4 linked regions of the Mytilus edulis genome follow. The protein of the gene in region 1 purifies or fractionates together with the protein of each later gene. This does not show direct contact. Links are inferred from orthologs where the notes say so. Each region holds a gene or a part of one and is shown in the gene's direction. Other genes may lie near its edges. The genes, in order: la-related protein 7-like, putative ATP-dependent RNA helicase DHX57, zinc finger CCHC-type and RNA-binding motif-containing protein 1-like and ribonucleases P/MRP protein subunit POP1-like.

Region 1 (7,828 bases):
AGGGATACAGGTAATAATAAAAACTAATATGATTGATGTATACTGTGTGATGCTTGTTTCCAGATCCTACATTTTGAAATATTTGTAAATTTCATGAATAGATAGGTTTAAACTACAAAACGCAACATTCATGACATTTTTAATTAATTTTTTTTTTACCATTACAATGATTTTGTTGGTACACAATATTTAGTTTAATGGAAGACTACTTATATACTAAATGTCACATTTTTTAAAAGTGTTCAGTTACATTAACTTTATTTTAGTGGATAATTAATCATCAATTGAGGAAGATTCTCAAAACAGAATTTTACAGAAAAATGAAAAAAATCGTATCTCATGTGTTCCCACAGCCTATGTTTACTTTGGAAGTTACAAATTGACCTACAAATTAAATCATTGCATGTTGATGTTTGAATCATCTACAGCAAACATTATTATGTTTTAATAGGTGCACAAACTCTGATTTAAATAACCAGTGAAGGATATCCCTGCTGCTACATAGTGTGGCATTCCAACAATGACGTCTCTAATAAACATAATGTAGGTTGGATATATTTAGAATATCTCGTCATACTGATTTTTCTGGATTGTAAAAGAAACGTAAATAGTGTAAAGGAGAGCTCAAGATACAATAATTTCACGAGAAACAGAAGGGAAATGTGTAAAAAAAAAGTGTTTAAAGTCCATCTATTCATTTGTGTGTCTCCTTCTCATCAATCTCCGTCTGGTCAACCACATAGGGGATTGAAGGCTTGAAGCTGCCTTTCCCCAAAAACTGCAGTTTACCACTATGGCCTATTTTTAGCCATGGCAGCCATATAAGTACAAGAAAATAAAAAACACAATTGATTCTAGATACCCTTAGGGTCATTCAGCTTTACTTTAGTTGGCATTGGTTCTATAGTTTCAAAGGAGAAGATTTTTTAAAGTTAGAAAACATAATCAACAAATTGTGTAAAATTGTTCTTAAAGGGCAATAACTCCTTGACAATTTTGGTTAAAGAACTTATTTGTAGATCTCACTTTGATGAACATTTTTGCTGTTCACAGTTTTTCTTTATCATTTCTTTATATCATTAATAATATTCAAGTAATAACCATCATTGCAAATAAATTGCTTCGACAAGTGCAGCTGGATACAACCGCAGAGGTCCTGAAAAGATGGGACATAATGGACACAATCTTCGCATTTGATAAAGGTCTGAATTTGGCTTGAAATTAAATATTTGACACACAATAGTTTTCTGACACAGAATATAAACTGTAGTCAAAGAACTTGAATTGGTTAAGTGATTTGAATTAATATTATTTTTTTTGCTTTTGTGCAATACACTAAAATTAAATTAAAACAAAATTGACAGCTTATTACCTCAAGACAATACAACATTTCTGTATACATAATTTAAAAGCAGTGTAAGGGAGGTAATTCAACCATGTAGTGTTTGAATTACCTCCCTTTTTTGGGGGGTTTGTACTTCAGTAATAGTCCATTAAGAAGGACACCCTTGTTTCACCCCTTTTTGCAACTAATTCCTCAACGGTTTAAGCCATAACATATATGCATCCCAATGCCAATTCTTACAATCCCTTTGTGGTATTGAATCTTGTGGTATAATTTCAGAGAGATCCATACACCATTCCACAAGTTATTGTCTGGAAACTAGAAAAATGCTAATTTGGGCCCCCTTTTGACCCTTATTTCTAAACTGTTGGGACTTTAACCCCAAAAATCAATCCCAACCTTTCTTTTGTGGTCATAAACCTTGTGTTAAAATTTTATATATTTTTTTATTTACTTATACTAAAGTTATTGTACGGAAACCAAATGTTTTCGGATGACAAAAACATGATACCAATGTACAACTGCAAAAATGTTTGCTTAAGAAAAAATTCATGGAAGCCATTGATTGTTGGAAATTTACACATGGCCTGGGCCATGATATTCGAAATTTATTCCTGAGCGAGGGATAAAATTGACGGATATCGCGGCCAAGTGAAATTCCAACAATCTATGGCTTCCATGAATTATTTCAATTCTAATAGGACAAATACGGTCATTAAAAAACTGAAGCGAGGGTGGATATGCAGTGTGTCGGGCTGTTCTTTTTTACTTCCTGTTAGATAAAGCTCAAACATTCTAATAAATCTGTAGCTATCATGGATTATTACATGAATAACCGCAGAGACCGCTTAAAAATTCTTTTATTTCTCAAACCCAACATTTGCCATTTTTAATTTACATGTTTTTCTCATAAGCTTCCGTCAAATCCTAAGTTGACATTTCGTCACCATGATGACTTGCTGAAATCTGTAAATAATGCGAATAATGCAATAGAATAGAAAATAAAACACAACCTACCTCAATCAAAGTGCTGGATAGCACCTGTGGAAAGATTGGAAGAGTAGTTTGAATAATTTCATATTAAGGTATGGTGGGGACAAAAGAACATTAATAAAACAGTATTGCTGAAAATTGCATAAACAGCAGGGTTCAAGCAGGAATAAAAATCAGCTGTAACTTAAAACGACATTTTCAACGAATTTCAGCAGAGCAAAATTTTCCGTTCCATCCTTCAAGGGGACATCTAAAAAGATTGTGTTAATCCTTAATTAATCATTTATCTTTCAGACATAATTTACAGAATCACTTTATGTAATGTAGATCAAAAGTAATAGGCAATAAATAAATCTATCATCCTTATATATCAAACATCTAATATATACATTTGTGTATTCAATTATGAGGTCAAATATTTGTGTATTGAGATGTTTATTGGGTCTGTACAATTATGTAACACTGATGTTGATAAGTAATGTGGTCAATTTGATTGACATTTTAGGAGGTGGGGCATTGTAATTTAAGGTCCACCTTGTCCATGTTTGGTGATAATGACAGTTGTCAATCATACTAGTATTGTATCAATACTCAATTACCTAATCAAAATGCTTAAAAAAAGCCTGCACATCAACACACCTTCATTACATACATTCTTGAATAAACTGCTCCAAAAAATATACCCATTTTTCACAATTTATATGTGTATTATGTGCACATACATGAGAACTATAGGGAACTATATTTCAGTGTGAATACATGCAGTAATAGTAGTAAACCTGTCATGTTGTTAGGGAGGCCAGTGCCTAAGGAAAGATTAAGAACAAGTTCCAATCTTTCCAAAAATCAGTTTTAATACAATATCATACAAATTTCAATGGTTCACGCAACAGAAAACTTTCAACGCTAGTGGTTTCATTTGTATGACGTCTTGTTTTGAAATTATTAAATACGCCAAAAGCATTAATAGACTTTCGCGGAATTTATTTTTATTTTGTTGATTTCTCAGAGCTCTTGTTCATTACTTCTTTTTATTATGTACCCGAAAAGGAATAACAATTATTTTGTCTTTTTTTTATTGCAATTTTTAAAAAAATAAAATCGGCAAAGAGTCTGCAAATAGGTTCCAATACATGTAGATTTACATGGGAAGTATATTGTAACTGCCATTATTCTGTATATCTCTGAGTCTGCGCTAAGTATAGATATATCAAGAATCTTATCACTTGTTGTTTACAAAGCGAAAAAAGCATGTCATATTTCATGTATTAGAATGTCATATAAAAACTGCAAAATTTGCTTAAAATTACCAATTTAGTAGCAGCAACCTAACAATGGGTTATTAGATTCATCTGAAAATTTCTTGACTGATATATCATGTATATAGAACCTAACTCACCTAATTTACACCTTAACCTGTTGTCAGATTTGCTCTAAATGCTTTGGTTTTTATGATATAAGCAAAACACTGCATTTTACCCCTATGTTCTATTTCAAGCCATGGCGGTGATGTTTTTTGACGATACAGAAAAATAAAACACAAACTATATTATTGGATCTTTCAGCTAAAATTTGGTTTGAATGTTCAGTTATTTCAAAGAAGATGTTTGAAATAGTTTACCCAGGTTTGACGAGGAGGACGATGAACAATGCTTAAGGATTTATGAGCTAAAAATAACAAATCAAGGACCAATTTATATGGAGCTTTGTTTGTGTGCTTCTGGAAATATTTATATGCATTGAGTGAAATTTGTGAACCATGTAAGTGTTAAACAAACCTCTTTCATGGACAACCTGGGGATTCTTTTGAATAAGCTGTTGTACTAATTGTCCGGCATTTGTACTGATTGCCTGCATAAGAAGCTGGTGTTCCGAGGTCCCAGTTGGTTTTGCAGAAACTCCTTCATTATACGTAACTTTGGGATAATCATCATTTTTTGACGTCATTCTAATTTACGTGCGTTTCATATGACCTAGCTTCCGTATCATGCCATATATAATTTATAATTGTGTGGTAGGGGAAATCGTGTAGTTGATGTAGTTACAGGAATTCTATTAGGCCGGCTCGATTCTGACCAAAACAGCATATCGGTCGTTTGACCGGCGATAAACAAAATCAAGGTAAACCGGATAGAAAATTTAAAGGTTTTGATAAGAATACTAAAGTATATGATGCATAAAAGAAGCATATGCTAATATAAAAATCTTTGTAAAACTGAATGTGAGCTACATTTGTACTTTAGAAAATTCCGCTAAATCTGCAAAGGAGAATCGAGTTCCCCAGAGACCTCTGTAAGGAGATATAAAATAGATGTTGATTGGTTAAAGTTGAAAATTAAACCAATAAAATAGTGGGTAACATTTCCGTGTTTTGTATAGTTAGCTCCCTTTATTTTATAGAAGGAAATTTAAAAGAAGGTAGATTCTCTTAATTAAGTGGAATTAGTTTTCTAAGTAAACTTTGCCACTCATGACTGCAGTGCATGTGCCCTATAGCAATGTAGATGAGTTATGAGAGGACTGTATTTTTGAAGCTTTTGTCGTTTTGAGACGTTTCGGCCTCATTACCAGTTCGTCCACAATTTGTTTCGGGACCACTACCTTACCTTTAAGTTCAGACTTGGGGTCAATTACATTGGAATGTAATTAATTAAATTACTCATTACATTGCAAAAATATGAATTACACTAATTACACATTACACAGTTTTTAAAATGTAATTAATTAAATTACACATTACATTTCATCATAAATTGTTTTAAACAATATATATCATGTATATATAGAATGTGTGAAATATACATCTTTATCCCCTTCAAATGAGAACCACACAAGTTCTGTGTGTTGAACAGGTGCTTTGGGTGGCAGTGCTCATTATTTATAAAGGTGCTGTGGCTGTGGATCCCATCACCACAATTTATCCATGAATTTTGGATCAATTCATCCATCCACAATTGGTTTTTTTCCTTGATGGAAGGGAGTAAAATATAATGTTTCATCAAACAAATGGGAAGAAACAAATGAAAAAACATATTCATTTATAAAAATTTGTATCAATATTGATTAATGTTATAGAGTATTCGTAAAATATTATGAAAAGATGAAGTTTTTTTCAAATATAAAACGCAAACAAGGCAACTTCAAATAAAAACTTGCTGAGTTTATGTGGATCCAACTTTCAGTTGATGAGTATATTGTAATACAATACAAGCTGCCTTTAGCCTTTTAAAATACAGAATGAGATATTGCAGCATGAATGGAATTCCAAATGACTTTTTCAATCAAGACATCATTCACAGCAGATCTAAAATACACACTTGATGACAAAATGATTTTTTTTAAGTAATACGATGTACAAAAATGATGTAGTTCCTTTTTCGAAACAATAAAATTAATGGAAACGAGGAATGTGTCAAAGAGACAACTACCCTACCCGACCAAAAAGAAGAAACAACCCAAGGCCAAAAACATGACAAATGGGTCTACATGTACAAGTTCAACACAGCAAAAAAATCCAACACCTGGAGCAGGGCTTAGCCATGTTTGCTGGCCCCTAAACATGCATTACCACATCTTCTTATACACATATTTATTAAGATCATAGATGAAAAAAATGGGTTCACAGTTAAATATACCAAAAAAGACAAAATGTATGAATTAAGATGTGAGGTGAAAATTGTATTTCATAGTAAATTATAATATTTTTTGCAGTGTTATGGCAGGAACAGAAACATTAGATAAAGAGACTACAAAGGACAAGAAGCCAAGGAAAAGAATGAAAGCTTTATATGGTCGTATCAAGCAACAGGTTTGTTGAATAAGTCTCAAGGTCATAATGGTCCAATGAGTTAATGTAGTTATTATATATAATTATATCTACCAAAGTTTTGATAGACATTAAAAGTTAACATTTATAAAAGTAATTGAAAATACTTGACAAAATAAATTACTTCATGATGTTAGGACAAACTCATGAACACTCATACAGGGTTAAACTAATGTTATAAGTACTTTGTCCTTCCCTATTATCTTTATCAGTGGTAGACCAATAATTAAGTTAATGTGGCTTGATTGTTGTTCTTGCAGTCCTGTTTATTTGTTTAGGATAATGAGGAACGGTGGGGTATATGGCAATGAGGCAGCAATGGAACACACAAAAAATACAAAAGACTTCTGATGGGCAACTAATGTCTTTCATGTGTCTTTTGATTATGTTATTTTCAAGTTCTATACATTTTCTGATGAGTTGTATTATATTACATTTATATATATATATATTTACTTGCTATTTGATAACTGTACTGTTGTATATTATATATGTTGGATAAAAAAAAAATGTTAAGCACATGTCCCAGATCAGCCACAGACAAGGTTTCTGACTTGGTACTTGGACATGAACATGTGTTGGACTTTTTTGGGATACGATTGCTTTTAAGCAATCTGTAGACTTATACCATTGGCTCAGGGCCATGCCCTCATGTCAACTGTTTTATTCTAAACATTAAGGAACATCTCAGATTCTTATGATTGTCTTGCTTTAAAAGGTAAAAACAAACAAAGGGATTGAACTTAAACAACTTTCCTATAATGTTCTTTTCATAATCTTCATGTTTGATATTTCTCTTGACTTATATGCATGTTTTTAACAACACGGAAAATAAGAATTAAGCAGTATTTATATTTAGTGTTTTTATAAATTTAGAAACACGTCAGAGGGAATTCACCAGTTTTGATAAAAATGCGAGAGTTCTCTGAATGCCGATAAATCTATTTCTGTCACATAAGAACTGAAGTGGAGTTTTTCTTATATGTCACCGTTATGAAACTGATATTTGATATTGTACTTCCATAAAGAAATAGAGAACCATCATTAAATAGGTGAGAGTAAAGCTCTAAATCAAAGAGCAGATTGCTCTGAGGGATATGATTGCCATTGTTTTCATTGACACATGTATACATGTAGCTGGATGATATTATTTTCAAAACTAGTTCAACTGCACATGTAAAATGTAATTTACGTAATCTGAATAGTTACAAAATAGACAATCCCGGATACAAGTGTATGAAAAATGTACTTAGGCCTAATGTGTTTTGTTTTTGTACCATCAATTCCAAGTTTACTTTCCACAGTAGTCACTGAGACTCAGAGTGAGAGAAGGTATTTCACTTCGTATCTTATCACCTATTTTCCTACTTTAATTCTAGGAGGAACCCTTATTCCTAACTCTTTAAATATTTAATTTCCTTGGATCAGTGGATTGGCTATTTTGTACCTATTCAGATTACGTAAATTACATTTTATAATGGCAATTGTATCCCTCAGAGCAATCTGCTCTTTGATTTAGATCTTTACTCTCACCTATTTAATGCCCCACCAAAGATACATCCGTTCATCTGTTCGTTCATTTGTTCATCCATTTGTCCCACTTCAGGTTAAAGTTTTTGGAAGTGGGCATCTGAACTATCGACACATTCTTGTTTTATCTAGAT
Region 2 (8,183 bases), on another chromosome or scaffold:
AGGGTGTAAAAGGGTTGACCAAAGCTTCATTCTAAAAATGTGTGCCAGTCAACGCTTTTACAACCCTATGAAATTACAAAAAGAAGCATTCAATACTTATAATTACATTTTTTAGATAGGATCATGAAAACACGATTTCAATCAAGGGTTTCTTTAATTTTTTCTGTGCACTTTATTGTGGGACCTCGTGCCATCATGAATGTTACGTTTCATTGTGTAATGAATGTCAATTTCAGAAGGTCTAGAGATTATACCAACCTAATCTACCAAATGGCAATTTATTTCTTTCCCCAAACATCAGATTAAATGATGCTGAATTAGCTGGCATTTTCCTCCAATCCTCATCACAATTCTCAACCAGAAACTTAGAGACAGCTTTGTAGACACTGCTTTTAATATCACGATTCACAAACCCATACATTCTGAAAATATAATAAGAAGTTGACATACATGTAGTTGAATACTCTTTTTGTCTTCAATACATCATGAAATAACACTAAATGGAAGAGTTGCTATAACAAAGAAGTTGTTGTGAAATGCCAAATTTCTAAAGTGAAAGGGGCATAACTACAAAAACTGGAACAACCTACCCACATGCACATCTGGAGATCAGGATCTTGTTATGTTTTAAACTTGTATGAAGCTGAAGCAAATAACAAAATTTAACAAAAGTAGAGAAAAATGAATAAATATATACTAACCTGATAGAACTGTTCTATCCCTTTTCTAAAACTGAACCATTCATTATGAAGTTTTCATTTTTCAACTATAGATGAAGTAAACACGTAAACAATGCTGTAATAAGTCATCTATAGATCCTATAATGAATTAAAAATTAACATAATGCATATGTCATTACTAAAATGCACATTAACTATTCTAATCATTCAAAACATAATATTTAATTTTGAATTGTTGATGTCATCTTTAATTTTGAAAAATTAAATGCTAATCTGAACCAAAATCATGTACATGTATCTGACTAAAAGTTACAAATTCATCAATACTTTTATACTTGTAAAGGGTCTAACATAGATGGAGATTTTTTAAATGTTAATTGCTATTTGTACAAATTTATACTTATTTTTAATGCTTATTACTAATCACTGTATATCAACCTCCCTCACAATCCCAAGATTCAAATGTATAAAAGTATTTGTGACTGTCACAATCATTAAAATAAGTTTCAGCTTCAAGGCCAAATAAATCTGGTGTTTTGAGAGACTATTTTTTTGCAGTGACGCCTTTGTGCTTCAAAGCAAAAGTTAAGATATAATAATAATAATAATAATAATAATAATAAATTCTTTATTTAAAGAGGGTAAACACAGTTAGTTACAATCACTAATCTTCCCTGAGGCCCTCATATACATGTATGCAATACAAGTAAAAACAAAATGGTAATAATAAAAGAAAAAAGCAATCATACAACATATAAACACAATTGTATAGACATAATAGTTCAGTGTACATGTACCATGATTAAAAGATATAAAACAGTTAAATATCGCATGTAGTAAATAGATCTAGTATATACAAATCATTAAAATCATACATTCTAAGAGTAATACAATGTAGTTGCAATCATTTCAGACTGAATATTGGGACTGTCTCAAGTATTGTTTTATAATTTGTTTAAAAGAATAAGTGTTTTGCACTTTACGCATTTCATAAGGTAGTCCGTTCCATAAAACTGATCCAGAATAAGCAAAAGATTTTTTAAACAGTTCAGTTTTTGGCTTTGGAACTATCAAATTACCTTGAGTAACACCCCTTAAAGCATAAGGATTATTTACAGATATAAGATGAAACTTTTGAATTAGGTACTGTGGTGCTTCTTTCCGCATACATTTAAATAGCAATAAATATTTATGGTATTTGATTCTGTTTTCTACTGTCATCCAACCAAGTTTTTTAAATAAGGGGGCTGATGGGGATAATGGGTCTGCATCAAGAATTAATCTTGCTGCTCTTTTTTGAAGTTTTAATATTCTTACTATCCCTTCATTTTACATTCTCCCCAAATAATACAGCAGTAATCGATGAGAGGCAGAATATACCCATTATAATATGCTTTCCTGGCATTAATATCTAAAAATTTCTTTAATTTAGAAAGAAGGTATATTCTTGATGAAATGCTAGCACAAATTTGATCAATTTGGTTTTTCCAGCTAAGTGTGCTGTCAATTTTAACACCTAATAATTTCTCACATGATGAATTTTGTAGTGTTTCTGAATTTATTACTAAATTTGGTTGAAAAGATTGGGTTGATAACTTCTGACTTGTTCCAGTAACCAAACATTTAGTTTTTTTGGTATTGATGAACATATTATTCATTTTGCACCATTCTTCAACTTTGCATAAATCTTCTTGAACATCATCATGTAAATTTTCTATACTTTTCCCTGATTTATGAAGAGTAGTATCATCAGCATACAAGTCTGTTTTACAATTTTTAATGCACAGGGGAAGGTCATTTATAAATAAGACAAATAATAGAGGACCTAGTATAGATCCTTGGGGGACACCAAATTTCACATCTTTTTTATCAGAATTAACATTGCAAATGTTTACTTGCTGTGTTCTATTACTTAGGTATGACCTGAAAAAACCTACTGCAGACTCACTGAATCCATAAATAGCAAGCTTTAAGCAAAGAATGTCATGATCTACAAGATCAAATGCCTTTTTAAAGTCTAACAGTATTGCTAAGTTAATATTACCATCATTCATTTCTTTCAGCCATTTGTCAATGATATCAATAAGTGCAGTTTGACAAGAATGATGTGGCCTAAAACCTGATTGTGTAGGATGTAAAAGTTTAAATTTAGACAAGTACTTATACATGTTATTTGAGACATGCCTTTCTAATACTTTTGATAAAGATGGAAGAACAGAAATTGGCCTGTAATTTGTTGCTAAAACCTTATCACCATCTTTGTAAACTGGTGTTACCTTAGCATTTTTCAGTAATGAGGGGTAGATACCAGTATCTATCATTCTGTTGAATATATATGTGAGAGGAGAGGCAATACATGGAGCACTTATTTTAAGGATTTGCGGTCCAATATTATCAGTTCCTGATGATTTATTTACATCAAGTTTAATTAACTCATCAAATAGCTCATTTATCTTTATTGGTGGTATGGTAAATTTCTCATGTTTTTGTTGTTTTAATTGATTTTTAATAAATTTGCTTAGATTATTGAAATCTGCCTTGTCAATAGATGTAATGTCCCTTTGCTCTCTTAGTTCTTCAGCACAGGAAGTAAAAAAGGTATTAAAAGTATCTGCTATAGATTTTTTATCATTTGTTGTTGTATTGTTCTCATCTGTAGCTAACTCATGTGGGGATTTTTTAAACTTTGGATTCAAGCTATGAAGGCATTTCCATAAAGATTTTGAGTCCTTAGAGTCTTTTACCATGTTTTTATAATAGTTCTTTTTTGAATTCTCTATTATTTGTTTAGTTTTATTTCTCCAAAATCTATATTCACTCCACAATCCAAGTGCATTGTATTTATCCCTCATGTTCCTAGCATATATAATTTCACTATTATACCAATCAGGTTGCCTATCCTTTTTAACTCTCTTTTCAACAACAGGAGCATGTTTATCTAAAACTTTGTTCAACATATCATAAAATAATTGGAGACAAACAGAAGGGTTGTCTTCAAATTCAATTTTATAAAAAGGTGTACTTTGTAGGTCTAAAAGAAATTCATTTTGATCAAATTTTTTGAAATTCCTGTATGTTATTGTACTGTGTGAATTCTTTTTGTCTTTATTAACTTCTTTCCTTGTTAAACAAATAGGATAATGGTCACTAATTGCTAATTTACAGACATGTGATTCCTGTACCTTATCTAGATTACTGACATAGATATGATCAATCAATGTACTGGTATCCTTTGTGACCCTTGTAGCATCTACAATCAATTGTTGAAGATTAAATGCTTCTAAAACATTCAACCATTTTTGAGGAGGTTTGCTTGGTGCTTTAAAATTCATATTAAAATCCCCCAATAATATAATATCTGAATTAATGGTCACTGCCATTCCTAGTTCTTTTTCAAAATCATCAATCCAATCTATTGTTGACTTTGGAGGTCTGTACACAAAACATAGTAAAAATGATTTTTTATAATCTGGTTTTACCTCAAACCACATTGTTTCAATACCTCCTATTTCAATGTTGTTTTGTCTTGAAAATTTTATTTTTTCAGAAAAATAAACAATTAAACCACCCCCACCCTGGGAAGTTCTGTCTTTTCTTTCAGATAAGGCTTGATATAGCCTTTAAAAGTCAAAATTATTTTGACTAATGTTGTCTATGTTTTCATATTAGGTCAAAAGCTCTTTAAAGCTTGTGGTGTATAAATAAAAAAAAAACTATCTTATCTTTTTTATCTGGTATATGAAGAACACATACCAGTCGACTGGCATATTTCTTTCAAAAAAAATCTATGATATGATGGCCTCAGTACATTTAAACATGTTGAGACCAAATCCTCTATATGTAATACCTGTATAGAGTGACTATCTTCCTACAGAGGGATAAAATTGTATTTCTAGATAAATTTTATGTTAAATCTAGTAAAATATAGAAATCTGTTTATTGCAAAAAAATGTAGGCCATAACTGAGTGGCATTTACACAATTATCACAGGTTTCGATAATGATGAACAAAAGATTGAATGCTAAGTCATTTTAGCACTAAAAGTGTAGCCAAAGATACCAGTGGGATATTCAACTGTTCAAAATCTGAAGTAGAAAATAATTTGACAACACCATGTCCAAAAAGGAAAAAGACTAACAGACATCCAATAGTTCATAAAACAAAAAAAATGATTTGATTTGATATTTACATTTAATCGGTTTGGTAACTGAAGTAAACAAACCATTGACCTCTTCACCTAGTCACTTAAAGGGTTAACTGAAAGTTTATTCCTACTTTCATTTTCAATTAGTTCTTTTGTAATAGAGACTCGATAAGTATATTCTTTTAATCTTTATCGCAGCAACGTTTTGTCAAGGCAATTTATATTTAAAAAATGAAGCTGACGTTTGACATCGAGCAAAAAAAAAGAGTAGGGTTCGAGCTCTAGGGTTCGTACGGTTTTATTTCGTGCTCATGGATGAATTTTCATTTTCCAAGAGAAAAAAGGGAAAACCTAATAGAGGTGGAGGTAAATTTAACCGTGGACGAGGAAGAGGAAAGCCCAGTCGAGATGAACATCGTCACGATAAACGTCAAAGTGAACCCGACAGTAAACGAAAAGAACCCACGTCTGGTGGAAGAGGCCACTCGTCTGGTGGAAGAGGCTACTCTTCTGGTGGTAGTGGCCACACGTCTGGTGGTAGAGGCTACTCGTCTGGTGGTAGTGGCCACACGTCTGGTGCAGTAGGAACCCGAAATTATGGAAGTAGCAAAATTTCTGGGTAAATAATGTCTCTAGTTAAAAAAAATCAAATAATTTTTAGCTTCGGAACGGTGAGCTTTAGCCATCTTGGCGTCCGTTGTCGTCTGTCTGGTGTAAACTATTTTAAACATCTTCTCCTCTGAAACGACTGAACCAATTCCAACCAAACTTTAGCTGAATGGTTCATAGCGTATCTAGAACAAAGTTTGTGTTTTTTATTTTCTGTTTCGTCAAAAAACATGGCAGCCATGGCTTAAAATAGAACATAGGGGTAAGAGCAAATCTGACCGTGAGTGACGTAGGGTTGAAATGTTCTTAAGGTTAAGTTCTATCAGCCCTGAAATTTTCAGATGAATCTAATAACCCATTGTTTGGTTGCTGCCACTAAATTGGTTATTTTAAGGAAATTTTGCAGTATTTCCCAAATTGGTTATTATCTTGAATAGTATTAGTGGTAAAGATAAACTGTAAACAGCAAATATGTTTAGCAAAGTAAGATCTACAAATAAGTTTATATGACACAATTTGTTTATCATGTTTTCTAACTTCAAAATCTTCTCCTCTTAAACTACTGAACCAATTCCAACCAAATTTAAGTTGAATAATCCTTAGGGTATGTAGAATAAAGTTTGTGTTTTATTTCCTGTTTCTTAAAAAAACATGGCCGCCATGGCTAAAAATAGAATGTTGGAATAAAATGCAGTTTTTGGCTTATATCTTAAAAACCAAAGCATTTAGAGCAATCTGACATGGGATTAAAGTGTTCATTAGGTCAAGTTCTATCAGCCCTGAAATTTTCAGATGAAACTAACAACCCATTGTTGGGTTGCTGGCACTTAATTTGGTTATTTTTAGGAAATTTTGCAGTTTTTGGTTATCATCTTGAATTTATTAATGATAAAGATAAACTGTAAACAACAAAAATTTTCAGCCAAGTAAGATCTCAAAAATTAAAATTAAACTTTGTTTGATCTCATCAAAAATTTAATTCTTACGGTTCTTTGATATGCTGAATTGAACCCAAAAAACAAACTATGATGTAATTGGAAACTTGAACTCTTAAAGAAAGTTAAATGCCAAAAAATAAAGGTGAGCAATACAGGCTCTTGTTTAATTCATAGTTAATATTTGAAAGTATTAACAACATATAAAGTGCTTTCAAGACATTTCAGTCACAAATACCAGTTAGGCCAAAGTGGTTTTGTTTACTTTTTTTTATTGACCTTTTTAGCTCACCTGTCCCGAAGGGACAAGTGAGCTTATGCCATCACTTGGCGTCCGTCGTCGTCCGTCGTCTGTCGTCGTCTGTCGTCGTCTGTCGTCGTCGTAAACTATTTCAAGAATCTTCTCCTCTGAAACTACTGGGCCAAATACTTTCAAACTTTAACTGAATGTTCCTTAGGGTATCTAATTTATAAATTGTATCCGAAGTTTTGATCTATCAACAAACATGGTCGCCATTGGTAAAAATAGAACATAGGGGTCAAATGCAGTTTTTGGCTTATAACTCTAAAACCAAAGCATTTAGAGAAAATCTGACATGGGGTAATATTGTTTATCAGGTCAAGATCTATCTGCCCTGAAATTTTCAGATGAATCAGACAATCCGTTGTTGGGTTGCTGCCCCTGAATTGGTAATTTTAAGGAAATTTTGCTGTTTTTGGTTATTATCTTGAATATTATTATAGATAGAGATAAACTGTAAACTGGAATAATGTTCAGCAAAGTAAGATTTACAAATAAGTCAACATGACTGAAATGGTCAGTTGACCCCTTTAGGAGTTATTACCCTTTATAGTCAATTTTTAACCATTTTTCGTAAATCTTAGTAATCTTTTACAAAAATCTTCTCCTCTGAAACTATTGGGCCAAATACTTCCAAACTTTAATTGAATGTTCCTTAGGGTATCTAGTTTGTAAATTGTATCCGAAGTTATGATCTATCAACAAACATGGTCGCCATTGCTAAAAATAGAACATAGGGGTCAAATGCAGTTTTTGGCTTATAACTTAAAAACCAAAGCATTTAGAGCAAATCTGACTGGGTAATATTGTTTATCAGGTCAAGATCTATCTGCCCTGAAATTTTCAGATGAATCAGACAACCTGTTGTTGGGTTGCTGCCCCTGAATTGGTAATTTTAAGGAAATTTTGCTGTTTTTGGTTATTATCTTGAATATTATTATAGATAGAGATAAACCTTAAACAGCAATAATGTTCAGCAAAGTAAGATTTACAAATAAGTCAACATGACAGAAATGGTCAGTTGACCCCTTTAGGAGTTATTGCCCTTTATAGTCAATTTTTAACCATTTTTCGTAAATCTTAGTAATCTTTTACAAAAATCTTCTCCTCTGAAACTACTGGGCCAAATACTTCCAAACTTTAACTGAATGTTCCTTAGGGTATTTAGTTTGTAAACTGTATCCGAAGTTTTGATCTATCAACAAACATGGTCGCCATTGCTAAAAATAGAACATAGGGGTCAAATGCAGTTTTTTGGCTTATAACTCAAAAACCAAAGCATTTAGAGCAAATCTGACGTTGGGTAATATTGTTTATCAGGTCAAGATCTATCTGCCCTGAAATTTTCAGATGAATCAGACAACCTGTTGTTGGGTTACTGCCCCTGAATTGGTAATTTTAAAGAAATTTTGAATATTATTATAGATAGAGATAAACTGTAAACAGCAATAATGTTCAGCAAAGTAAGATTTACAAATAAGTCAACATGACGGAAATGGTCAGTTGACCCCTTT
Region 3 (7,735 bases), on another chromosome or scaffold:
ATTGTTAGTGATATGTGGAATAAATTGCTAACTACAGAACATTAAAGAATGATATGATAACTTGTACTATGGATTCATTTATTTTTGTTGGAAACCATTTTTCATGGATTTCGTGGTAAACACAAATCAACGAATTCCAATATCCAACGAATGACATATTTACTTTAGGAGTGTAAAAAGACTTTGGCAGAACCACGAAATCAAATATTAACAAGTTTTACTCATTCCTCGAAAATTAATGTCCATGAAAATAAATGAATTCAACGTATTATGTTTTCGAATTAAAACCAGAATTAAAATGGCCATTAAAGTCATATGATTTTTCAGGTTTGTCCTTTGATCGTTCACAACAAAATTTACACAAGATAATGATAAACTGCAATACTATTACTGCACATAGAACACCAAACATTATCCAAAAATTTCTTTCTGTATAGAGATCTGAAAAAAATATATACCAAAGATAACTTTCATAACTGTTCCAATAATGCATGTACCAAATCAGGAATATGACAGTTGTTAATCATTCGTTTGATGTGTTTGAGCTTTGATTTTGCCATTTGATTAGGGACTTTTCGTTTTGAATTTTCCTGAGAGTTCAGTATTTTTGTGATTTTACTTTTTCCACTAGATTATTTACCTTCTGGTTGATAACTTATTTTTTAGTTTTTATGGACCTCCTCTTTTTGAATTTTTCTTTGAATGCGTTTTTTTTTTTTGTTATACTTTTTAGCTTTTGGGCCAAGTGAGCTTTTCTCATCACTTGGCGTACGTCGTCCGTCGTCTGTCGTCCGTCGTCGTTAACTTTTACAAACATCTTCTCCTCTGAAACTTACTTAGCCAAATTGTATCAAACTTGGCCACAATCATCATTGGGGTATCTAGTTTTCAAAAATGTGTCCGGTGACCCGGCCAGCCAACCAAGATTGCCGTCATTGCTAAAAATAGAACAATGGGGTAAAATGTAGATTTTGGCTTATATCTCTGAAACCAAAGCATTTAGAGCAAATCTGACGGGGTAAAATTGGTTATCAGGTCAAGATCTATCTGCTCTAAAAATTTTAGATTAATCGGACTACCCATTGTTTGGTAGCTGCCCATGAATGTGTAATTTTAAGGAAATTTTGCCGTTTTTGGTTATTATTTTGAATATTTTTATATTATAGAAAGAGATAAACTGTAAACAGCAATAATGTTCAGCAAAGTAAGATCTACAAATAAGTCAACAAAACCAAAATGATCTGTTAACCCCTTAAGGAGTTATTGCCCTTGTAGGCAATTTTTAATAATTTTTCGTAAATCTTTGTAATATTTTACAAAAAATCTTCTCCTCTGAAACAAACTTGTCCTCAATCATCATTAGGGTATCTAGTTTAAAAAAAAAAGTGTCCTATTACCCCACCCGCGAACCAAGATGGCCTACATGGCTAAAAATAGTACATAGGGTAAAATGTAGTTTTTGGCTCATATCTCTGAAACCATAGCATTTAGAGCAAATCTGACTTGTGATTAAATTGTTTATTAGGTGAAGATCTATCTGCCCTTAAATTTTCAGACCATTCAGGCAACCCGTTGTTATGTTGCTACCCCTGAATTGGTAATTTAAGAAAATTTTGCAGCTTTTGGTTATTATCTTTAACATTATTATAGATAGAGATAAACTGTAAACAGCAATAATGTACAGCAACACATAAAAATAAGTCAACATAACCAAAATGGTCAATTGTCCTCTTAAGGAGTTTTTGCCCTTTATAGTCAATTTTCAACAATTTTTATAAATTTTGAAATTTTTACAAAATATTTTCCACTGAAACTACTGGGCCAAGTTCATTATAGATACAGATAATTGTAAGCAGCAATAATGTTCAGTAAAGTAAGATCAACAAACACATCACTATCACCAAAACAGTTTTATCATAGTGCCCTTTGTTTAATATGCACATATACCAAGGTGAGCGACACAGGCTCTTTAGGGTTTTTATGGGAAACGATACCGTTTTATTCCTGATGTCGTTGAAATTTTTTAAAACACTATGAACACATGCATTAGTTACCTTTGGAAGTATAATAAGAAGGTACATTTCCGTAAAAGTAAAATTTGAAGTCTATCATTTATATATATTCATTTAAGCAACATTATGTTGTCTTAAAATATTAAACAAGTTCTTAAGTTCTTCCGCCTATTATTACCACTGAAAGAGGATGAATTAAAAAAAATTACCATTCATCAATTTCTTGACATGACTGTATCAACAAATTAAGTTTATTATCAGTAGTACAGTAGTGTTTGTCACGTGTATTGCAAAGTCAACCAACTGAAATTCAATGAACTTTTTTTTAACAATAAAATTTAAATTACTAACAAATATTTGCTTGTAAATATGATCTGGCTCGAATGTTATCAATCTATGTTGGTGTCCTGCAAAATCATTCCACTTTTATGGTAATTTTGAACCCACTTCATGTCTCACATGACTGCTAAGCTAAGTGTTTCTTTACCTACACTAAGGGAAAGTCTACTAGCTCTCGTCTAAATGCATTAAAAAGTTTGTATATAGGTCAAATTGAATGCTTCCAATAGCTTTACACTTGCTAAAATTAGGAAATTTATTTTTAAAAATTACAAGTTATATGTAAATTCACTACTTAAATCTATTTTCATATCCATCATTTAAATTCATGATTTGATCGTTCAAATGATGTTGTTATGAAATGGACAACATGACTTACATGTCTTACGTCGATTAATAGTAATTTTATTGTCAGTTCCCTAATGATATAACTCATCTACAAGACGTTTTGTAATTTTGTAACTCCTTTTTAGATTCTTTTCATTGTTTACGTTGACCAGAACTAGCCAGAATCCCCCCTCCAGGAATCCCAAGGAACAAAATTCGTCATGGCTTCTTAACATTTGCACTTCATCGTTTAGAAGGCTATATAAAAAGCTCAGTTGACGTTTGTGGAGCTCTGATGCTATGGGTAGTGCACCAAAAAGTAGATAGACGGCACAGAGGGCTGTTCTTTGATACAGTGATGGGAATTTTCTTAGGCAGTTTATGTGGAACTTTCTAAGGCGGTCAATATCTATTTGTTTTAATGGTAGTATTTCAAGTCCAAAAAGAAGTTTAGGCATTACATAGCTCCGATATAATTGGTAAGAGGTGATGGGAATTAAACCATTTTATCCGTGATGTCCGCTGTTGAATAAAGAGAAGAGTGTTCTGCGAGCTAGGGACAGTCTATCCTCTACATTTACGTTATTCTCTTTAATTTCAGCTCTCATTATACCTAAATGTTTAGTTTGGTTTGTTGGTGTTATACAAGTGGTGCCGATATTCTATTGTAGGTTTTTTCTTTAAAATACCGTTTTGCCTTTATTGATGATGACAGCATTTGTTTTTGTTGGATGAAGTGTGACCCTGTCCTGTTTGGAATTTCGTAGAACAGTGTTTAGCATAATTTGTGATTCTTCCACATCATCAGACAGAAGTGCTATATCATCTGCACATGTTGCATGGTGAGCCAGTCAGTGGCAGAACTTTTCATAAGTTGGAGGGGTGCTGACTGACCTCAAAAGGGGGGGGGTGCCAGTCATGCTTCAGTTATTCCCTATATAATCAACCAAATTTTTCCAGCCACTCCAGCCCCCACCCCTTGGATCCGTCTATGCCAGTGTAAATATTGCCAATTTTCAGTCCTACACGGCTAAAACATTACTAGTTCATTCAATACGTTGTTAATGTTAACCTTATATAGGTTAGTGGAAAGGACTCCACCTTGTCGCACGGCCTTGTTGTATTGGATATTTGTCACTTATTTCACCTTTCCATTTTATTTTTAAGGACATGTCTGTGTAAAGATCTTTGACTATGGGCCAAAGTTTAGTATGTATGCCACATTCATAAAGTTTATCTAGAAGAATGATGTGAGAAACCACGTCAAATACGTCAAATGCAGTTTGGCTGTCTACCGCTATCATATTTGATAAAGGTTTTAAAGTTACATGTTTGGATTCTGATTTACATTCTACAAGAAAGGCAGCTATAAGCATAGAGAGACCTTCTGTAAAACCAAATTGCATGTCTGCTTGGGATAAAGTTTTTGGTAAGACGTGGTAACAATACATATTTAATCAGTTTGGTGATTGTTGGTGTCACTGTGATACCTCTGTAATTTCTTCTAATGTTGGATCTTTCAGCTTTTTTAGTACTGGGTTAGTAATTCCAGTCTTAAAGAAAAGCGGTAAGTTTGTTTTGTACAGTAGAATAGCTATTGTGATTTGATTAAAGATGGAGGTTAACATTGGTGAAAGAATACTTCTAGCAGTTTTGAAATGTTCTGCGGAGATGCCAATTCAATTTAGCTTGTTTTTTCGGATAAGAAATATCACAATTGGGTCCTTTTATTATGGAGGTTGTTGAGGTATTGGATTATTCGGTATTAACACGGAAAAATAACAAGTACCACCCGGTGTTGGTTTTATGCTTGTTTTAGTTTCACTACTTCCGGTATTTTCTTCCTATTATTTTTATGGAAATTTTTATATTCCCCTGTTTATTGCGAAGTTTGAAAGGTGATAGCCACAATGAGCGGGGGTTTGGTGCCCAGTAAAAGTACTATATATGTTGGCAACCTTCCCTTTTCACTGACAAATAACGATATTCACAAAATATTTGAAAAATATGGAAAGGTTGCAAAGTGAGTTTAGAAACTTTAGTTTTGATTATGTCAGAACTAAAAATCAGGTTCAAGGCATGCGCTAGTCCAAATAATTGGCTATTTTATATATTTGCTTCGATGTCGTAACTAGATCAAAACTAGGTATGCATTCATGATCATTCATTGACAGGAGTGTGTTTTTATAACTGTTTACCAGGTTGGGTACAAGTCGAGGAAAATTTGGGTACAGATGTCTATTTTCGGTTTTCAGTGAACACCCCGGTTTTCTGGTTTGAAAAACAACAGTTTACAGGGACTTCCTTTTCTAATCCAATTGATGGCATGACATTTACAAAAGTGCAGGTTTTAACTGTAAGAACTTTTAAAAAAAGTATTTCAGGCCACACCAATTTGATTCCTTGTTCGACGGACCCACCCGCACCTATTTTTTTCAAAACAGAATTTTTTTATTTTTTTTATATTCCTGCTTCCCGCATCCGGAAATGTAATCATGTCCATCTCCCGCACCGTTTTTTTTGTAAATATTATAAAAAGATATCAACATTTATTTTTAAAATAACAGTCTAACCTGTATATAACGATTTTAAACATAAAAGCACCCCACCACACTTTGTAAATATCTGTGAGAATATTTGTTTCAGCATAAAACCTATTTATCAAAAGTGCGAGTGCTCTGATATAAATTTATAACAGCGAAAACCTGTAAAGAACAAAATATTGGTTACTTTCCCCTTACTTATATTCCCTATCAAAAAATGTTTGTTGTTAGAATAAAGTACAAAGAACTTCTGAAGGATTTGCCTTAACTGCAGTTATATGGTTATATTGTATGCTGGCGAAACAAAACTATCCATAGCCGCTGCATGTTTATTCGCCTGTCCTGATTGATTGAGGGGCCTGTCGTTCAGCAGTTATCGTTTGTTGATGTTGTTCATTGGTATTTTCCCGTTTGGATATACATGATATATAAATTAGATCGTTGGTTTTCCTGTTCGAATTGTGTACGCTAATAATTTTGGGATCCTTTATAGCCTGCTGTTTGGTCTGTATCAAAGCCCTGTGTAAAAGGCCGTACTTCGACCTGTGTTTGTTTATATTATCAGGTTGAGAACAACCCTCCCTCAGACAAGGGGTCATTTTACTGATGTAGAAAAGAAAATAGAAATACCAAGAATTTGTATAGTTCTTCTATACAAAACCTTTGAAAACTTAGAATTTTTTACTCAAAAAGAGAAGAGTTGCATCATATTTTAAACAACTTTTTCTAAAAGAGGGGTCCACTTATTTTGAATAATATTAAACTGTTAAAGTAAATGTGTTAGCATCAGGTTAAAGTCCAGGAATATTACAAAATTCTTGGACAAGTTTTGACCATTTAATACCAGATAGATATATAGTTCTTTGAGAAAATATGAGCCCTTTTGTACAAACAAATCTATTATAACTTATATTGATCCCTCATAAAACATGTAAAAGGGATACAATGTATTTATAACATAAAGGGGTGGTCCCCAAACTGATCATGACTTGGATGTAGAATTGTCTCATTGTCAGTCACACATACATAGACCAGATTTAATTATTTCTTGGTGAACAGGGAAAAAATACTTCAGAAATTAAAGAAATGTCAAAGTACAAGTGATAAATCATTAGCTTTAATATTGTCAAAACCTAATATTTTATGTTTACAAAAAAAAATTATAATCGCTCGCCTTTACTTTTCAAGCTTCGCCTCAAAAATTTGCAAATTAAATATTTTTTTATTAAAATTTTCAAATCGCTCGCTCGCCCCAAATTTTGGAGTTCAAAAATCCGTAGAACAAGAAATTAAATTGATGTAGCCTCAGGAACAACAAACAGGTTGGGCTCAAGTTAGGAAAAGCGGTGTATTCCCAGTTTTTAGTGAACACCCCAGTTTTCTGGTGTTACCAACCCCAGTATGCCCAGCTGAAATTGTAACAATGTTTATATCTTGAACTTATTTGGGAACAGTATGTTTAATGGGAAGACAAGTTAATCTGATATGTATTCAGTATTAAATTGATAAAATCTCTTGACTTCAAGGTTGGCAAAAAAGCGGTCAATACTAGTATTGACCATGCCAGTGGTAAATACCGGTATTTACCGGGAAATACTGGCAAATATTGGGAAATACCGGCAAAGCAAATACTGGTCGATTGAAATTTTGAGTGGTCATTACTATAAAAACCACTATCTACTTGGTCAATTATAATTACAATTAATAATTAATTTATATAAAAAGGTGTTCAAACCATTTTTAATGCTTTCATTTCTAATTCTATTGTTAATTCAAACAGGGATCTACATTGATTAATGTGTACATAATATTATAGTAAAAGATAAAAACTTTTTGTCCCTGCTTCAAATTTTCATTTCCAGCATGAAGAAGGGTTTTTTTTTATCTCACAGTTAGATAGCTATAAACAGGAAATAATTTATTGTTTAAGGGAGTCTTCATATATCAATTTTATTACTTTCAACCCATGTACTGTCAACTTTTATTGGAGGCTGTTGTTTTAGTAATTAAATTTTCACACCTAGCAATGCCAGGTGATATATAAAAAGACCCATGTAACTTCATTTACCTGTAGTTTTATTTACCTTTAATTTTGATTACCTGTAAAATCATACATTTTGAATAAAAATATATTGATTTAAACATGTTGAAATAAAATATAAATTTGTATATATATATCTTAAGTATGCAATATCATAATTCATAAAAACTAAATTTTAAATCAGTAGTAAGAATAAGTGTTATAAATGTCATAAAACATATCAAATTCATTAACTTTATAAGCTGACACATTATATTTGACTTTTTATCAAGATTTTACTTCATTTAATAGTAGAAACAACCATGAAAATTTCAATTGACCAGTATTTGCCAGTATTGACCACTTGGGGAGTATTGTCTGGGGCGGTAAATACCGGTAAATACCACTGGTAAATACCGGGGTGGTATTTACCGCCCAACCTTGCTTGACTTTACAAGATTTATGGAATTTGGTAGCATCTGTGGATTTTAAAA
Region 4 (8,290 bases), on another chromosome or scaffold:
AGAACATGGTTCCTTCTACTGGTAACCTTGTGTCTGGTGGTGTTGTACCAGAGACAGAACAGGTATGTACATGGATCCTTCTACTGGTAACCTTATGTCCGCCTGTTCTGTCTCTGGTACAACAACACTGATACAAGGTTACCAGTAGAAGCAAGGATTTGTATACTATACAAATCCTTGGTAGAAGGGACCATGTTCTTGCTTTACACATACCTGTTCTGTCTCTGGTACAACACCACCAGATACAAGGTTACCAGTAGAAGGGACCATGTTCTTGCTTTACACATACCTGTTCTGTCTCTGGCACAACACCACAAGATACAAGGTTATCAGTAGAAATGATCATGTTCATACATGTACATACCTGTTCTGTCTCTGGCACAACACCATCAGATACAAGGTTACCAGTAAAAGGGACCATGTTTATACATGTACATACCTGTTCTGTCTCAGACACAACACCACCAGATACAAGGTTACCAGTAGAAGGGATCATATACATACCTGTTCTGTCTCTGGCACAACACCACCGGATACAAGGTTACCAGTAGAAGGATCCATTCCTATTTGCCCAGAGAGGTACATAGTATTTTCAACCAGCACAGCCTGACTTTAAACAATAAAAGATATTTCAAAATAAAATAGTATGCATCAGAACAGTATTATGCACTGAGAAAGTTCTAATTAAAATATATTTTTTTTATACAAATTAATTGTAAGAATTTCACTACAAAGAACAGAAAGTAAAAAGAGTTTTTTTTCTTTGAATAAAGGAATGAATCCATTCCCTTTTCAAAATGAGAACAAGCCCAAAATTATATATTTGTGTTTCATGCCTCTGTGTATAAACTAATTTCTCATGAAAAAAGAGATCATTTCAGCTTCCCAACTTCCCAATTGTGAACATTCCATTCCTATGTATTAACATTCCAGCAGCGCCTGCATACAGAGTATATATCTCCAAATTGATATGATATTCCCTGGCCCAGGGAATATCTTATCAATTGAGAGATATATACTCTGTTTAGTGGCTTGTATTTCCTATCATGATTTCCTTGAAAGAGGATTGCTGCTCACAAGGAAGCTATTAGTTAAACCAAGTGTTCCAAATGGTGAAGTTGAAATCATCCCTTCGTAAATTTTACAGATGCCATCAAGAGTTGGTTGACCATTATGGAATAACCTTTTCACAGATGATATCGAATATGTTCCTTATGTTGTAATGACAATACCCCTCCCTTTTCATGAATGTGACTTCTTACCGATTTAGACTATTTAACAGATTTGTAATAACATAAGCAACACTATGGGTGCCACATGTGGAGCAGGATCTGCTTACCCTACTGGAGTACCTGAGATGACCCCAGTTTTTGGTGGGGTTCGTGTTGCTTAGTCTTCAGTTTGCTTTGTTGTGTCTTCTGTACTATTATTTGTCTGTTTGTCCTTTTATTTTTAGCCATGGCATTGTCATTTTATTTTTAGCCATGGCGTTGTCATTTTATTTTCAATCTATGAGGTTGACTGTCCCTCTGGTATCTTTCTATCCTCTTTTAAACTCTTATATAATTTAAGTCTTGAGAATTTTGATTAAGCACCTATAAAGGGGCTATCAGATTCCTGTTCACTGATATGACTCAAATTCTGCCATTTGATTTTTAACAAATAAAAACTTATATCCAATTTAAAAAAAGTCTATAATAATCAATTTACAATGCATGGGCTCAATAATATATGTATCAGTATTTCTTGTGCATTTTTGTCTACACTCCATCTACTGAACAATTGATATGTTCTAAGAAGACTGCATATGGTCGACAATATATTATTAACGTGATCAGAGGCGGGTTTAGGGCCCCCCCTTTTTGGGAAAAAATTTGGTTGCTTATATAGGAATCACTGAAGCGTGACTGGAGTGGGCCCCCTCTTAGGTCAGTCAGTGGGCCCCCACTTATGAAAATTTCTGGATCCACCACTGGTGATATATATAAAAAGATAGCAATCATGTCCAATCACATTGTTCTAGGTTAGTTTGATTCCATATTATGTCATGTACAAATGTATATCTTATTATCGCTATAACCTAGCCGTCTAAGAACGATTATTGTGGATCAAAGAAACCTAATAGGACTCATTGTAATTCCCTTTTATCATATATTTGCAGCTCTTGATCGAACCAATACATCAAAGTTATCATTAAGTATGGTTTTCATATAGATAAAAGGACAAGAAGGTTCACTTTCGGTCAATAATGGCCATGATTTTCAACTTGAAAGTATTTTTTTAAAGTGGCCATAATTTGGTTCTTAAATGGATCTATCTTTAAAAAAAGCCTGGCTTCCTTGACTTCCATGTTAGAACAAATCTCTTCATAAGAGTATATTCTTGGCTTCAAAATCATCACCTTTTAGATATAATGTCAAAAAGCTATGGTTTTGTGCATTTTTTCAGACTTAAAAAGCTTGAGGAAACCTATGGCCACAACCTAGAATCTATAATATTCTGTAACCAAAATTTGCTAATGATGAGATTGGTTACCTAGACATAGAAAAGTTCTGGATCATGGGTGGTGCCCAAAGTGTATAAATGCAAAAAAATATTAAGATTTATCTAAGATTTGACCAAATCTAACATTGCAACACAATAAATGTATACTGATTATGATGAAAGTATTTCATGTAAATAGTAATATCACAACTACATCTATGTGAAATTTGTAGTATTTTGGCTGGCTTAAAAAAACATCACAAACTTAAGGCTAATTCGAACACATTTAACCCTGATTCTTGAACTTAATCCTTTATATTTAGTAATTCTAATTTCTAGTTTATCTAATAACATAATGAATAAGGGAGATAATGCAAATTAAAAACTTAATACATAAATCTCTTTTAACACAAAATAAAATAGGCAAATTGTCAAACATTTTCATGTCATATATAGTCCAGTCAATCTAGATAGCATAAATTTGACCCTGACCTGAAAGTAATTGCAACAGATGATTTTTAAGTTTAATCTTTAGCATTATACCACAAAAATACACTGAAATAAGTCCCATTTAATCTTACTTGAGGAGGACTAAAAAAATCACCATTTAAAATTTGTCATTTGGAGATTTGCATTGAAAAGGGAGATACATGTAACTATTGCAAAACAGGCAGAAATAATCCAATATCAATAAAAATTGATACAAAATTATAACTTTACCGCTTCTATTCATCAGAATGCATTGATTCTTGATTTTTTAGCGGTCTTTAGAGTATAAAAAACAACTCCAAAGAGGTTTTAATATCTTTTATCAAGCTATAATCTAGATTTCGTAGTTCATATTATGGACTATTAATTAAATTTTTCAACCTGTCAAGATAAAGAATCTCAATTTTAATAAAAATAATTAAGCATGTATTCTTCTTTTTGTGGTTTAAAGTCTCTTTAGAAAAGTAAAATACTGAAAAAATATAATATATAGATATAAACAATACCAAATTTTCACATTATATTTTTAAAATGGTCACAAAGCTTCAAATTTGCGATTTCTTTAATGAAAAATGCTCAAAAAAAATTGAACTACCCATAACACTTCGCTTTTGTACATCTCATGAGCAGAGGATTATATGATTTAGTCAAATACAAACTTATAACCCCATCAATGTATCATACTTTACATAAATTTCAGGAAAAGCAACCAAAAACTGACCAAAAAAGACTCATGTTTGTTGAGTTATCTCCCCTTCCAATGTTAATTTCCATAGAAAATTAAAAATGCTTATTTTTTTCCCCCCTCAAGTTAGATTTAATGGGACTTTTTTTCTGTGTATATTAAGGGCATAATGCTATAGATTAGAACTAAAACATTTTCTGTTGCAAATTAGTTTGAGGTTAAATCTTAATTTGATCAGTTGATATTATACCACGACTCGGTCACTTTTTAAAGACTCTGAGACCACTTACTTTACAGCATCACTAGATGAAATGGACTCCTATGAATCATTGATTACCATGATTACAGACCAAATAATGTAGAAAAAAAAAAATTAAAAAAAAGATTACAGGACTAAAGGGTTTGTATTCAATCATTGGCTTTTAGGGAGCTACCATTTTATTTTTATGGTGGGGGTGGGGGGTTGGCTAGGATGAAAAATTATGTCCTGCATTTTTTTTAGCTTTAATCTCTGTCCTGCCTTTTTATTTTTCACTCTGTTCGAACCTGCCTTTTTTTTTACCTAAATTGTTGTCCTGACTTTTTTTCTTTTGCAAGTGTCTCATCCTGCCATTTTCTTTACTCAAAACTCCTGACCTGCCTATTTTTTTCAAATTTCATCCATTTTGGGGCCCTTTATAGCTTGTTGTTCGGTGTGAGCCAAGGCTCCGTGTTGAAGGCCGTACTTTAACCTATAATGGTTTACTTTTTAAATTGTTATGTGGATGGAGAGTTGTCTCATTGGCACTCACACCACATCTTCCTATATGATATATCTATTAACAAGAATGTGTTTACTTTTAAGTTAAACTTCCACCTGGAATTCAGTAACTTAATAACAAGGATACTCAGACCAACAATGTTATCAGAGTAACTTGTGAAAACAGCAAATTATAATATTTAATAAAAGTATAAAGGTTAATAAGTAAAATTGCTCAGCCTCAGGTGACCAAAGGTGCACATTGAGGTTTTTCAAATATTCAGCAAAGAGAATCACCTGTATGGTCCAATAGCAGCTGGAGCCTTTACTGTCTTTATTATCTTTCTTACAATTCCTGCCATATTTCAATGTGTTTGGTCAGCTCAGTTTAATTGTTTGTCCTTGTCATATGGGAGGTAATCCAGGAATAAAACGGTTCTTATGAAGCGCGATCCTGAGCATTGATCTGTTATTTATTTAAGTTCATGCCACATGTTTACATTTGGTTTTGTAAACTAAGATTTTTTTTATAATAATGGTTTTCATTTTCTGGTCATAGCATATGTTTTAAACGATGACATTATATCTTTGGTGGTGAAATAATATATCATTTATTCCGGAAGTGAATCGTCTGTCGTGTACAATAAAATGTCTGCGCCCATTAGAAACATGTACAAAAAGATGTAAGCGGATTAAAGTTGGTCAAATATAGTGAATTAGATTTGTCAAGCAGAAAACAATACTCTTTACAGGACCATGGTATGATTTAACATGTTTGTTTTATGTATTTTAAGGAAAAATACCTCAAATATAGTAGATAGTTACTGGTATTAGGTCCGTTCGCGCCCAATACAATACAATTCCTCACAAAAGACTTCTCTACAAACTAAAACATTATGGCATTGATGACAACACCTTAAAATGGATAGAAGATTTTCTCACATCTCGGACACAAACAGTGATCATTGATGGTGTTCAGTGAAGACAAAATAAACGTAACATCTGGTGTTCCCCAAGGAACAGTTTTGGGTCCGATCCTTTTCCTTGTATACATAAATGACTTTAACGAATACATCAAACACAGTACCCTCAGATTATTTGCAGATGATAGCATAATTTATAAAACAATACGAAAGAAAGAAGACACACAAAAACTGCAAGAAGATCTCACATCAGCTGCAAAATGGGAGAAGGACTGGCTCATGTCATTCCATCCAGACAAGTGCTCAGTCCTTCAGATAACAACTAAGAAAACCCCATTAAATTTTGACTATACTCTCCACCAACATGTACTTCAAAAAGAAACATCCACAAAATATCTTGGAATAACTATACAAACTGATCTCAAATGGAACAAACATGTAAACAATATCACAGCTGCAGCCACACAAAAGCTGAACTTTATTAAAAGAAATCTAAAAGTCAACTCAAAAACAGTCAAAGAAAAAGCATACATTGCACTAGTAAGACCAAAGCTAGAATACAGCAGCTGCGTCTGGGACTCGCACACCAAATCTCAAACACACCAACTTGAGATGGTCCAGCGCAGAGCAGCAAGGTACACCTGCAACAGATACCATAACACCAGCTCAGTCACTGAAATGCTACAAACCGCATCATTTTCCTCTACAAAATTATACATCATCTTGTTGCCATATATCCGACAGACCTACTTACACAATCTGATACAAGAACACGACAACATTCACATATTTACTCTTTCAGACCCATACAAACCACTAAAGACTCATACAAGTACTCATTCTACCCTAGAACAATCTTGCAATGGAACCTTCTCCCAGTAGCTGCAGTTCAATGTACTACTCTTGAAAGCTTCCAAGAACAGATTCCAATATCTGTTCTCAATAAACATTTAAATAAATTCCACAATGTATATAGTTTTAACCAAAATGTATAGTACAAAAACAGAAGAAAAAGAAGTTATAAATGTTGAAATTTTTATTTTTATTTTTGTATTTTTTCACTGTAAATAAAATTTATATCCACGCACGCGTGGCATAGTAAAATCAGTGCCCGGCACGTTATCATCAGTATGTTGATGGAGTGCTGAATTATAAAGAAGAAGAAGAAGAATACACTTTCGCACCCTTCATGTTCGCACCTCGCGGGGTGCACGTTCGCTCTCTACATGTTCGCGCCCAATTTTAATTCAAATTCCAGTTGAATTAGAATATAGGGGTAAAATGCAGTTTTTGGCTTATAACTCAAAAAACAAAGCATTTAGAGCAAATCTAAATTGTTTATCAGGTCAAGATCTATCTGCCCTGAAATTTTCAGATGAATCTGACAATGCGTTGTTTATAGGTTGTTGCCCCTGAATTGTTTATTTTTATGAATTTTTGCTGTTTAAGAGATAATTGTATTGTATTTGAAGCTTTAAGGACGTCCATCGGTAGTTTTATTGTCGCAAATTTAGTTTACCTGGCGACGCTGAGCGGAGACAGGTAAACTCGTATTTGCGACAGTAAAACTACCAATGGACGCCCGAAAAGCTTCAAATACAATACAGTTATCTCTATTCTAATGCAAAACAAGTTTATAATTAAATTTCAATCATTATTTCAGTGTAAAATCTTCATAAAAGAAAATTCCGTGAAAAAATGTTATCTTTTTTGGTCCCTACACTAGGGGACGTCATAGGTATGCTTCCGGCGTCAAACATAAACACCAGGCTTTTTCTGGCTTTTGTGCCGCTTCAGAATGTAATAAAATTTGTTAAAAAGAAGATGTTTAGGCGCAATAAGTGAGTTTTTATGCAGTTAAGCTGCATTATGCGAGCACCCTAGATTTGTGTTCTACCCAATAAATGCTGAAATACTTGCCATTGTTATTATCTAGCTCGCTACTATGTTATATATAACTAATTGAACACATTTTTAATACTTTTTATTCTGGATTACAAAAAATATGACAAGAAAAACCTTGAATGATCGTCGATTTATCCAAAAGTTTTAAAGTTACACATAGGAAGTAGTGCTTATTAAGAATCCTTGTGTAGTTCATTATGACTTGTGCTTTTAGCTAAGATGTCAAAGAACAATTGTATGAAATATTTAATCGCCGAAAATCTCTTAAGACAAGTAGTTTAGATTTTCCAAATGACAAAAGTCGTAGGAATATTGTTTGTCATCAATACGTAGTACAACTACGTCAGTAGTCTATTATATAATAAGTTCAACTGTTCATGCTGTTGGCGGCAATTTCAAATTAGAAAAAGAAATTTTTCGTAGCTTTTCAATTTGGAGGCAAGACTAGTGTGCAAATTATCGGTGGTCCGAGGTCCGCGACCTTCCACTTTTGCAAGCGGAATTTCGAATAGGATAGTTGGTTTCTAGCTACGCCCGACGTAGTCACCTTCCACTTGAAAGAAAACAAGAAATTACTTTGCAAACCTTTTCACCATGTTCACCAAAGTCTCCAATTAAACGAGCTAAAAACTTATTTTTATCATTATTAGTCATGACAGCGATGTTCATTTTGTTCAACCGCTAGCTTTATGCAGAAAATCTCCGACAAATATTGTATAAATTCGAGTAAAATCCTATCTGATTGACACAAACAACATTGTAAACACATACCAATGGCGGCCGTGAAGACCAAATTTTAATATCGGATCCGATTCCGGAAGCGGATAAGGGTAATTCCGGGTTTGGCGATCATTTACAAAATAAATCCAAGCAGGTGAAACAACACATCTATGCATGGTAAATTAATGAATATAAACACTAGAATTGTAAACCAAAAGATATATGTAAAAGAAAGAAAAATCAGAAAAATATTTTATTCAGAAACTCAAAATTACTTTTTGACAAATTTTTAATTTAAAAATCCAATACAAAGTGACAGCTGGGAACAGTATATCTAACAATATA

The links.
Region 2: the proteins of la-related protein 7-like (region 1) and putative ATP-dependent RNA helicase DHX57 purify together in Homo sapiens (affinity purification with mass spectrometry; 3 studies listed by BioGRID and IntAct, with this or other methods). This does not show direct contact. The link is inferred for Mytilus edulis from reciprocal best matches to the Homo sapiens genes LARP7 and DHX57.
Region 3: the proteins of la-related protein 7-like (region 1) and zinc finger CCHC-type and RNA-binding motif-containing protein 1-like purify together in Homo sapiens (affinity purification with mass spectrometry; 3 studies listed by BioGRID and IntAct, counting the BioPlex papers as one, with this or other methods). This does not show direct contact. The link is inferred for Mytilus edulis from reciprocal best matches to the Homo sapiens genes LARP7 and ZCRB1.
Region 4: the proteins of la-related protein 7-like (region 1) and ribonucleases P/MRP protein subunit POP1-like purify together in Homo sapiens (affinity purification with mass spectrometry; 3 studies listed by BioGRID and IntAct, with this or other methods). This does not show direct contact. The link is inferred for Mytilus edulis from reciprocal best matches to the Homo sapiens genes LARP7 and POP1.

Annotation. Positions count from the first base shown.
Region 1 is NC_092352.1:62,370,679-62,378,506, forward strand, and holds the start of la-related protein 7-like, read left to right. Parts: upstream 1-4,681; 5' UTR 4,682-4,756; intron 4,757-6,049; 5' UTR 6,050-6,053; coding exon 6,054-6,146; intron 6,147-7,828. Other genes in the region: uncharacterized protein, read right to left, coding at 4,117-4,285. UniProt on the Homo sapiens protein: RNA-binding protein that specifically binds distinct small nuclear RNA (snRNAs) and regulates their processing and function.
Region 2 is NC_092346.1:56,277,594-56,285,776, forward strand, and holds the start of putative ATP-dependent RNA helicase DHX57, read left to right. Parts: upstream 1-5,072; 5' UTR 5,073-5,135; coding exon 5,136-5,443; intron 5,444-8,183. Other genes in the region: tubulin--tyrosine ligase-like, read right to left, coding at 259-421. UniProt on the Homo sapiens protein: Probable ATP-binding RNA helicase.
Region 3 is NC_092344.1:95,701,461-95,709,195, forward strand, and holds the start of zinc finger CCHC-type and RNA-binding motif-containing protein 1-like, read left to right. Parts: upstream 1-4,490; 5' UTR 4,491-4,588; coding exon 4,589-4,701; intron 4,702-7,735.
Region 4 is NC_092344.1:124,482,736-124,491,025, reverse strand, and holds the start of ribonucleases P/MRP protein subunit POP1-like, read left to right. Parts: upstream 1-5,010; 5' UTR 5,011-5,153; coding exon 5,154-5,156; intron 5,157-8,290. Other genes in the region: 2-iminobutanoate/2-iminopropanoate deaminase-like, read right to left, coding at 505-610, 4,695-4,759. UniProt on the Homo sapiens protein: Component of ribonuclease P, a ribonucleoprotein complex that generates mature tRNA molecules by cleaving their 5'-ends. Also a component of the MRP ribonuclease complex, which cleaves pre-rRNA sequences.